Rattus norvegicus: one gene and its partner. The protein of the gene in region 1 purifies or fractionates together with the protein of each later gene. This does not show direct contact. Links are inferred from orthologs where the notes say so. Each region holds a gene or a part of one and is shown in the gene's direction. Other genes may lie near its edges.

The links. Proteins that work in one complex are often made in the same cells at the same time.
Region 2: the proteins of Psmd6 (region 1) and Ube3a purify together in Homo sapiens (affinity purification with mass spectrometry; 4 studies listed by BioGRID). This does not show direct contact. The link is inferred for Rattus norvegicus from reciprocal best matches to the Homo sapiens genes PSMD6 and UBE3A.

The regions. Positions count from the first base shown.
Region 1 is NC_086033.1:13,530,979-13,535,920, forward strand, and holds the start of Psmd6 (26S proteasome non-ATPase regulatory subunit 6), read left to right. Parts: upstream 1-1,696; 5' UTR 1,697-1,773; coding exon 1,774-1,918; intron 1,919-2,455; coding exon 2,456-2,661; intron 2,662-4,942.
Region 2 is NC_086019.1:119,204,350-119,209,596, forward strand, and holds the start of Ube3a (ubiquitin-protein ligase E3A), read left to right. Parts: upstream 1-1,798; 5' UTR 1,799-2,304; intron 2,305-2,309; exon of another isoform or gene 2,310-2,395; intron 2,396-2,437; exon of another isoform or gene 2,438-2,835; intron 2,836-5,247. UniProt on the Homo sapiens protein: E3 ubiquitin-protein ligase which accepts ubiquitin from an E2 ubiquitin-conjugating enzyme in the form of a thioester and transfers it to its substrates.

The DNA.
Region 1 (4,942 bases):
CTGTCCTCAGACTTAGAAATTTGCCTGCGTCTGCTTCCCAGTTGCTAGGACTAAAGGCATACATGAGAACGCCTGGCAAGATGGATCTTGGTAGAAAGTGGAAGCTTGAATTTCTTTGCTAAAGGTATGGCTATTCACAATATGCTTCTTGGAACTAAGAATTCAGGCTTCATAAACATATTTTGCTTACAAGTGGATTTTTGGGTACAATTTTATCCATATTCCATACATAGTATGAACCCAGTCTTGAAATATCTCTATACTGGGCTTGATTTAAAGCTCTGGTTCCTCCTGACCTAAACCCATTCACGAATGTCTTAGGATGCTCTCTACAGAACCTCCCTTGTGCAGATTGATGACCAGTATTCATACAAAGTTATAACATTCTGATAACCTAAAAGAGATTACCCCCTCAGCACCAATTCCAGAATGTCTTTGGGTTGTACTCTCCCAAATCAGACACACGGTAGCCATCACATAGAGTGGGACTCCTGGATCCGCATATCCTTCATGGGACATCATATTTCAGAACCCCGAAGAGTTTTAGGCCAGCACAGGAGATCTGCTACAGAAAAAAGCTCAGCTTGTGTTCAAAGGTAAACATCTAGGAGAAGTCTGTGCTTTGATGTGCAATTCAACATCTGAGATGAAAATCCTGGTTTTAAGTTCCCGTGGGTGAGATTTTCTTAGAATAGTCCCTTTACAGTCCTCACAATTGCAGGGCCTAATTAAAGCAGAGGAGAACAAGTCCGTGCAGTGGATGGATTAGTTCTTTTTCTTGCTGTGATAAAATGCCATGACCAAAGCGGCTTCTGAGGTTTGTTTGGCTTGCATTTTCTCAGAGCCCTTAACAGTGAGCTTGCATTTTCTCAGAGCCCTTAACAGGCATGGAAACAGTAGGCTGGAACAAGAACATGGCCGACCACATCTTCCACCACACAGAGAGAACAGACAGTCGGAAATGGGGTGAGGCCAGAAGTTCTCAAAGCCTCTCACCAGTGAGTTACTTCCTACAGCAGGGCTTATACCTTCTGACGGTTCCTTAATGTGTCCAAACAGCACCACCAACGGAGATCATGTGTTCAAATACTGTCCCTCAGGTGGACATTTCTCATTGTTACACCACAGTAGAGTTTATATAACTACTACCCACTCTGAAGACTTCTCCAACTTGTGTACACAAAAATAAATAATGTAAATCATTGAATTAATACTAGGAAACATGGGGTTTTCTTAGAACAGGCAAGACTGTGGATTTTAAAGGTAAATAAAATAGGTTTTACACAGGCCTTGCCATGTAGCTGTTATGTAACCTTAGCCGGTCACTTTTTCAAACCTCTTTATGTCCCAGTTTGCTTGCCTACAATCCGTACCAAAAGAATTCCACCCTAGTTCAAGAGTATTAAAACAAAGATGGCCCTGGACAACTGTTTTTATTATTATTATTATTATTATTATTATTATTATTATGATGATGATGATGATGATGATGATGATGATTATGATTATGATTATGATTATTGATTTTTCTCATCCGTATTGTATTTTCAAACTGTTAGTGCATTTCCAGATCCTCTAAGTTGCAAATGTAACAAGCTCAGACAGCGCCAGGTGTTCCCGCCGGTGTCCAGCAGGGGACGCTGCAGGCGGCGGAGACAGAGACGCGACCGGAAGTCAGGCTGGCGGCTGTGGGTGCTTGCGACGACTCCTCCTGCTTCCGCTGGTGGCCCAGGACTACTCTCAGTTTTCTCAGCTTGCTCTTGTACCGTGACCATGCCGCTAGAAAACCTAGAGGAAGAGGGTCTGCCCAAGAACCCGGATCTGCGCATCGCGCAGCTGCGCTTTCTGCTTAGCCTGCCGGAGCACCGCGGGGACACGGCGGTGCGCGAGGAGCTGATGGCCGCCGTCCGGGAAAACAGTGAGGCCCGCGAGCGCCGAGTCAGCGGCCTAGGCTGGGGCGGACCGGGTGCCTGGCTGGGCGTCCCGTTGGGGCTTTTTGGAGAGCCCTAGGGAGCCCTCCTGGAGCCGAGAGGGACTTGTCTTAGTGGGTTCTTCCTCGCCGCGAGCTGTTCCGGGAAGCCTCGGATGCTTGTGGCGCTTAGACTCCCAGCAAAGGGTCTTGACAGTATGTCTGTCAGTGTTTCACTCTCTGCCAAGGGGCAGTTAGGGTTCTGTCCCTATCAGTACACGTCTAGTAAGTGTCCTTTCCGTGACGTGAGGATTCCTTTGGAACAGGAGCCTACCAGAGCAAACTAAGGATTCCCCTCCTGTGGCCTTAGTAGTGTTCAGCCCTGTAAAGATTGGTTCTCAAGCAGGTCTCCTAGCTCCAAAACCTTAGCTGTGCTCTCCAGGCCCACAGTTGGTAGGCGCCTGCTAGCTGACTTTTGATGGGGTGGGGAAAAAAGCAAGCTGACCCTAACAAGTGACCTCATGGTGCGTGATTTATGGCTTTTAGATATGGCTCCTTATTATGAAGCCTTGTGTAAATCCCTCGACTGGCAGATGGACATGGATCTCCTCAGTAAAATGAAGAAAGCAAACGAGGAAGAGTTGAAACGTCTGGATGAGGAGTTGGAGGATGCAGAGAAGAATCTGGGAGAAAGTGAAATTCGAGATGCAATGATGGCAAAAGCAGAGTACCTCTGTCAGATAGGTGACAAGGTCAGTGGAGATGCTCTGTCCTCTCTGGATAGGTGACAGGGTCTGTGGAGATGCTCTGTCCTCTCTGGATAGGTGACAGGGTCAGTGGAGATGCTCTGTCCTCTCTGGATAGGTGACAAGGTCAGTGGAGGTGCTCTGTCCTCTCTGGATAGGTGACAGGGTCAGTGGAGATGCTCTGTCCACTCTGGATAGGTGACAGGGTCTGTGGAGGTGCTCTGTCCTCTCTGGATAGGTGACAGGATCAGTGGAGATGAGAGTTGCTCCCTCTTTTCTGCAGGTACAGACTCATGTTGTACCTCAGTGCAAATGAGTAATATCTCCATGGATAAATAGAAGGATAATCATATTCACCTGTATTCAAGAGTCAGTACAAAGACAGTAGATACAGGCTAATGCTGCAACATCCAATTCCCTGCTCTTAACAGTAGCAAGGTGTGTATTAGTCTTCATTTCTGCGTCATTAAAAACATGCCTATGAGGCTCTGTGGTTTAAGAGCACATACTGCAGGTCATCTTGGAGAGGACATGAATTTAGTTCCTACCACCCGCATCAAGAAGTTCACAACAGCAGCTCCCAGATGTCTGGTGCCTCTAGCATCCAAGAGCATGTGCATTCATGTACACGTGCCCCCAGACACACATACACATAATATTTCTCCAGAACAAAACAAGGGCACAGAGGTTTTGCCCCTCTGTTTACAACATTGGGGTCATTCTCAGTAGTTCATTTATTTGGTAGGGAAGCATTTACTGTACATCTTAAAAGGTTTACGGTAGGAGGCTAGAGCGATGGCTCAGGGGTTGAGCGTGTTGGTTGCTCGCAAAGAGGACCCAGGTTTGATTCACAGCCTCCAAATACCAGTTTACAGCTCCCTTAATTCCAGTTCTGGGGGATCCCATACCCCTTCTGACCTCTGCTGGCCCCTCCAGGCAAGCATCATCATGCAGACACATGTTTAGGCAGTATATTCATAAAATCAATCTAAAAGATTTTACACTAGTGATACTTATCATTCGGGGGCTGCAGATGTTTGGCTTTCTTGTGTTCTATACCCTGAGAAATAATCAACTCACATAGCTCTTTCATTGTGCAGTTATGCACTGGTGTATGTATGTCCTGTGGGATACGAGCAGTGAATGTGTGTTTGTGTGCATGAGATCACTGTGTGGTCCACGAATCCTCCTCTTCCGTGCCTCTGTCATTGCATCTGGGAGAACGTTGTTAACGTTTCGGCTCCCTGCTGCCCCATGCGCTGTCTGAGTAGCTTGTCTGTTCAGCTGGTCGTGGTGCACAGATTGCTTCAGCTGGATTTGCTTTAACAGCTATAACAGTTGGCTTTTCTTAAACATGTCGCTGTGATGAAAAACATGTTCCTATGTCTCCTTGTGTATATACCATAGTGGTTTGTTCCTTGGTCTTTTGTTTTTTTGTTTTTTTGTTTTGTTTGTTTTTGTTTTTTCCTTTTCTGTGTGTTTTGAGACAGGGTTTCTTTGTGTAGTCTTGGCTGTCTTGGAACTATCTCTGTAGACCAGGCTGGCCTCAAACACACACAGATCTGCTCACCTCTACCTCCCAAGCTCTGGGATCTAAAGGCGTGGGCCATCACTGCCCATATACACTAGTGTTTCTTTAGGATACTGTTCAGTCTGTGAGGTGAAATTGCTGGGAGAGTGAATATTTATTTTCCTGTGTGTGGCCATTAGTTCTGCGTTCCAGTATTTAAAACAGTGTGAGCTCTTGGTTCAGATGGCCTGGGCCATATGCCAGCCTGAACAGTCAGCGTCAGTACTGCAGCTTCAGTCTCCTCAGGTGAGGTGGGTGACGTGCTTCTACCTGATGCTGGGTAAAGATGCAGGGAAAGAGCTTGGAACTGCGCGCCCAAGGAAGGGCTTCAACCGGATACTGTTGTTTTTTAATTTACAACTTTTTTATTTTAAATTTAGTAGTGGTCATTTTAGAAACTTAGAAATAGAGGGGAAAACCCCTGAACAGTAGTATGAGTATGGTTTGCTTTGAAGAGTAGTCAGTATATATGTGCCTGAGTGGCTTGAAGGTTTTGGCTCAGGTCTTGGATTTACTCAGTGTGGCTTAGTCAGCATTGGGTGGCTGTGCTTACGTGTTGATGCTATATTCCTTCTGTGTTGGCTCACAGCATTCTCCCCGAGAGAAAATTCAGTTTTTATCTCTTATTGACTGTTTCTAATGGTTGCAGTGGTTTTATTGTTACTTATATTTATCCATTTTTTGATGCTTAGTTCATTGCAGATGTTTGTGGAGATC
Region 2 (5,247 bases), on another chromosome or scaffold:
GTATGCAAATATGTTGTCAGGAATCATTCATGCTAATAATTTTTGGCATAAACATCATTGCTTTCTCCATTTCCCTTTAAGATAGTCTCTCTTTACAGTGAGACCTTCCATAGAACTCTAGATTTCCCTATGTTGGGGTTTCAGGCATGCACCCTTATGTTAGCATTAATGTTTCTAAATTTTAAAAATAATAAATTGAAATACATGAAGTCCTGATCATCAGAGGCCCATATAAGAATATATATTTAACGTTAAGTAAATAATTTTTTCAGTTTGGTATGATAAATTGGGATTCTCCACGATCTCCGTATAGAACTTGATTGGCATTTGGATATCTATATCCTTCAAACTTTTAAGCTTTTTAGAACTCTGCGGTGTTGGCTATATTTTGACAATTCACATTACTTACTAGAAAATTTCCTTTTTTTCCCAGACAACTTCTATTTAGAAGTGAATAGCTGAAAGCATCTTTCCGCTGCAATACTTTACTTTTCTTAGTAGTCTAATGATCTTCGTTTTGGTTTTGTATTTTAATAATTTGCAAAGATAACTCTTTAAAAGGTTACATTTGTTACTAGCTCTTTTCATATAATACAATGGTATTCCAAATGAGGATTTTTAATGAAGAAAAAAAAATAAGAATAGAAAAATTTTAAAGTATCTTACAATCTGACTGAACAGTTGCACTTATTTTTCGTGCAATAGTTTACACCTCCTGCCCCTGCTTATTTTTTAAGTTTTAAAAAATAGCAAGCCTTTAATCCCATCATTCAGAAAGCAGAAGCAGGTGAATTTCTGAATTGAAGGCCAGAATGGTCTACAGAGTGGGCTCCAGAACAGCCAGGGCTTCAGAGAGAAATTGTTTTGAAAAACAAAGAAACAAACAAACAAAAAAACCCAAAAATAGCTGTTTATAGTGGGGAGATGTATATGTATCCATTTATAGGAGTTGCAAGAAACAGAAAAGCACATTGCTACATGTGATTGTTACATTTTGAGTACTAGATGATTAAGGCTTACAAAGTTGCAAGCCAGAAAATAACGTGTCAGCCAGTCTGTAATAATTTGAGTGTCAAAACCATTAACAACAACAACAACAACAGCAAAAAACCTAAGTAAACCATCACTTTGGTACCAAGAAGTCACATGGCTCTAAAAGAGTTCAGGTCTTCTGCATATCAAAATTAGTCTCTATCCATGTGGGATCAAGCAGGGATTCACTCAGTTGACAATCTACTGGAAGACACCACTGGTTAGGCTTTTACCTACTAGTTTGGTAAACCAGTGACAAATCCTGTCCTGGCAGAGGCCTAAGCGGATGACCTTGTTTACTGGAAGGTTGCTCACTCTCGGGTTCCTGCAAAAAAGTCGTAGGGGTCAGCCATAACAACTAAATACTTCTAAGGTTCTTTATTCTGCCAGTAGGCAATACCCTCTCAGCCTATTCGACCCTCTGACTCCGAGGCTATCCTCGGCTGGCTAGCCCTGTCAGCTCTCCCGAGTACACCGAAGACAATGGTCTATAGATTGGGTAAAAGGAGCATAGGCTAAAAACACCAAGCCTCTCTCAGCCCTGTCTCAAGATGGCGACCGTGCTGGCCAGCTTCCACCTAGCCCAAAGCCATCTCCCTTTCCCAAAGGCACCCGCGCCAAGAGCGAAGGCGAACTAGAGTAGGGCCCTGCAGAGATGCAATCCGGGCGGGGCGGAGACAGTCGTCGTCCCACGCACGCGCGAGCTCGCCTAGTCTCCCGCCTCCGGACTTGGAGCCCTCCGCCGGCAGGGTGGCGCGCGCTGCCTGTCGGGATACTCGGTCCGCCCACCTAGTCTTCTCGTCCTCGTTCGCGAGATCCGTGTTTCTCCCAAGATGGTGGCGCTCCTCTTTGGGTGACTACAGGAGACGACAGGGCCTTTCGTCTTCGCAAGTACCTCGCCGCCCCTCCTGCGTTCGCTCGCGCACCGGGCCACGCAGCTGTTCACCGCCTCATCACGACTCTCCTCGTTCGACCAGTCGCGGACGGTGGCGCCTCCTTCTGCTTCTCTTCGGAGTTGCTCGCCACCCTCGCCCCCCACCGTGGACAGATCGCGGCAGCAGCCGTTCAGCGCCGACTTCAAGGTTGCCCAGGCGCCCGGCCTCCCGGCCTCAGTTTCCTGAGGAGAAGCGCGGGTCCCGCATGAGACCCGGCGGTGGCGCCAGCGAAAGGGAACGAGGCGGTGGCGGGCGGCGGCGGTGGACGAGGGCGACAAGGACCAGTGAGGCGGCCGCAGCTGCGAGGGCCGCAGCCCACGCGCGGGGGCGAGGACAGGTCAGTGCTGCTGCGGCCGCGGCCTGCCCGGCGCGCTCCCTCTGGTCTGTACCGCCGGTCCCCTCGTCACCCTCCAGGCCGCGCTGACAGGGTAGGCGCCTGGGCCCTCACCCGCCTCCGTGAGCGAGTGCTTGGGCGCGTGGTCTGGAGGGGCCGGTGCCAGGACTAGGCCCTGGTGGCTGCGGCTGCTGCAGCCTTAACTGTCAGTGCTGGCTGAGCGCAAGAGGGAGGGTTTTGTCACCCGCGGGTACCCGAGTGGGCCCGGGGTGGGGCGGACGTGCAGGGCGTCGAGATTGGGGCCTCATCTAAGCAGGGATCGGAGAGCCAGCCGTGGCTTCAGGCTGCAAAAGGAAGTCCTTTTCCTCCAAAGGGGCGCTCTGGTGGGGAAGACATATTTAGAAGTGTGCTTAGTGGGTTGGGGTATTGTAGGGGGTGGATTGGAAGGAAGACGGATGAAGCGGCACATCAAGCCCAAGGATTGCGCTGTGGTTTTATTCGTGTGCTGCGTCTGGTAGGATTCAGTAGTTGAACGTGAGTTACTGGATTCCTCAGAAACTGCTGTGTTAATTTTAAATGCAAACCTGTAAGCAGTTGGTCTCCTCCTCTTCTCCCCTCCCCCTTTTCAGTTGAGAAAATGAAAAGGACGTTTTCCCCATTTTGATGCGGAGGCTTTTTGTTGGAAGAGTCAGAGTTGAATGTGCTATAATTGCGTTAGCCTTAAAAATAAAAAATATAATTTTAATAAGACTTTTTCACATTTAGAATCCTCTAAAGACAATTTTACGTCAATTTTTTTTTATGTCTTTTGAGGATACTGAAATAGACAAAATCTCTTTGGGTTTGTATTAAGTAGCTAGTGTACTGTTGCAAATGTTAACCAAATAGTATATGGGATGTGTGATCCACAATTATCTAATGTCGCAAAGGATGTTCGTATAACCCAGGGTTTTGGGAGAAGCAGCAGATTATGTTAAAATGCTTTGGAGAAGGAAGTGCGTTTGAAATGAAGATGGCCTGAACTTTAAGAAATATAGCTGTGGGGCAGGGGGTGGGGGAGAAATATAGCTGTTAAAAAGCTAAATATTCAAAGACCTAGTAAATCTTGTTGGACAAGTGACATGACAAGTGTTTTTTTTTTTTTTTTTGTTTTTTGTTTTTGTTTGTTTTTTGTTTTTTTTTTGTCACATCCCAGATTAGTGACTACTTTTACTTAAGATTTTTTTTTTTTTTGGTAAATCATGCAGATTTAGATTTTAGGAGAGATAAAAGGAAAATTTTGTCTTGTTATGTATGACAGAAACTGCTTTAGTATTAAATTCTCTTAAGTAGAATCTGCTTACTGCACTTTTAAGGGAATGGATATTGCATCTGTATTGCTGATAAGCCTAAGTATGACTGTAAATCCATAGATACTTAGCATTACAAAAAAGCCATGTATCAAAATCTGTAATAAAAATGAGAACTTCATCAATTTGCAGTCTATATTTTAAGAAAGATACAACACATAATAAAGATGAGATGACTTGTAGCTTTGTTTTCAGAATCAGAATGTAAGTAAGCTGTGAAGTATTTGTGTCAATATTTACCTTGCATTGGTGTGTTGTGGAGTGGTATACACACGTAATTCTTTGGGTATTGCTCCTCATATACCTGAGGAGCTTAACCATGAGTTTAAAAAAAAAAAAATCCCTTTTGCATGCAGGTTTTGTAGGTGGCTTTTTTTAATCTCTGAAATATCCACCATCACCATTTTTTCGTTCTTTTTTTTTTTTTTTGTTGAAAGGGTCTTAATGGTACTCCACTGGATGACCTGTAACTTTCCTCTTGGCTTTGTCTCCAGGGTTCTGCAATTAAAACTGTATACCACCAGGACTGGCTACTTGCCCTTTTTATGGCTTTAAATAGAAAATGTAATTTTCATCTGAGACTAATTTCTCTGACATGTTAATTTTATTCAGTTGTATATCTTAAACATTTATGTCAATCTCTCTTCCCTCAAAAATTGCTGTAATCGTTTCTCTCAATTTTTATCAACTTTTTTTTTTCCATTGGGCATAGCTAATTTTTTTCTGTTCAAGGGCTTAAGATGATTTTTTCAAATGTCCTTTAAAAAAATAAAACCTTAAATGGTTACTGGTATATTACCATTTATTCTACTTAGGTTTATGTTTGTTATTAATGATAAAATTACTGTTAATGGATTTATATTACATGTATATGCAGCTATTAAAACATCAAGTGTTCTGATTTTTGCAACTGGGTTTGAATTTTAACCGATGGTCTTCTAAGTACTTTCAAGTACAAAAAAAGTATCAGAGCAGAGGGTCATATAAAAATAGTCTTTAAAGTCTTTGATGTTCTCTTCATATGAAGGTTTAGGATAATAGAGTTTTGGTTTTGACAGTATTTTACTTCATTACTGATAAAAATAAAAACAATGTTATGTTAGGCATGATGTCTCACTTCTGTAAACCCAACAATTGAGAGATTGAAGAAAGGATTGTGGCCAGGTTTAGGTCAGCCTAGAATAAGAGTTGAGAACTTGTCTCAAAAAAATGTTATCAATCAGAGATGTGATAGAATGTGTAATCAAACAAACTTTCTTTTTTTTTTTCTTTTCTTTCTTTCTTCTCTTTCCTTCATTCCCTCCTTCCTTCCTTTTTTTCTTTTTGGAGGCAGGGTTTCTTTGTGTAGCTGTCGCTATCCTGTGTTGACCAGGCTGGCCTCAAACTCACAGAGATGAACCTGCTTTTGCCTCCCCAGTGCTGGGATTAGAGTTATGGCTACCATCACCCAGCCTAGAAATATCTTTGTAGTAAGAGCTTGATTTCATTTTCGATGAGACATGGTTTTATCTATAAACAAGATGGTGAAGATATTCCAGATTTTTAAGAATTAAAGACTGTAAAGTGCTTAATAGTCTTTCAATTTTCATACCCAGTT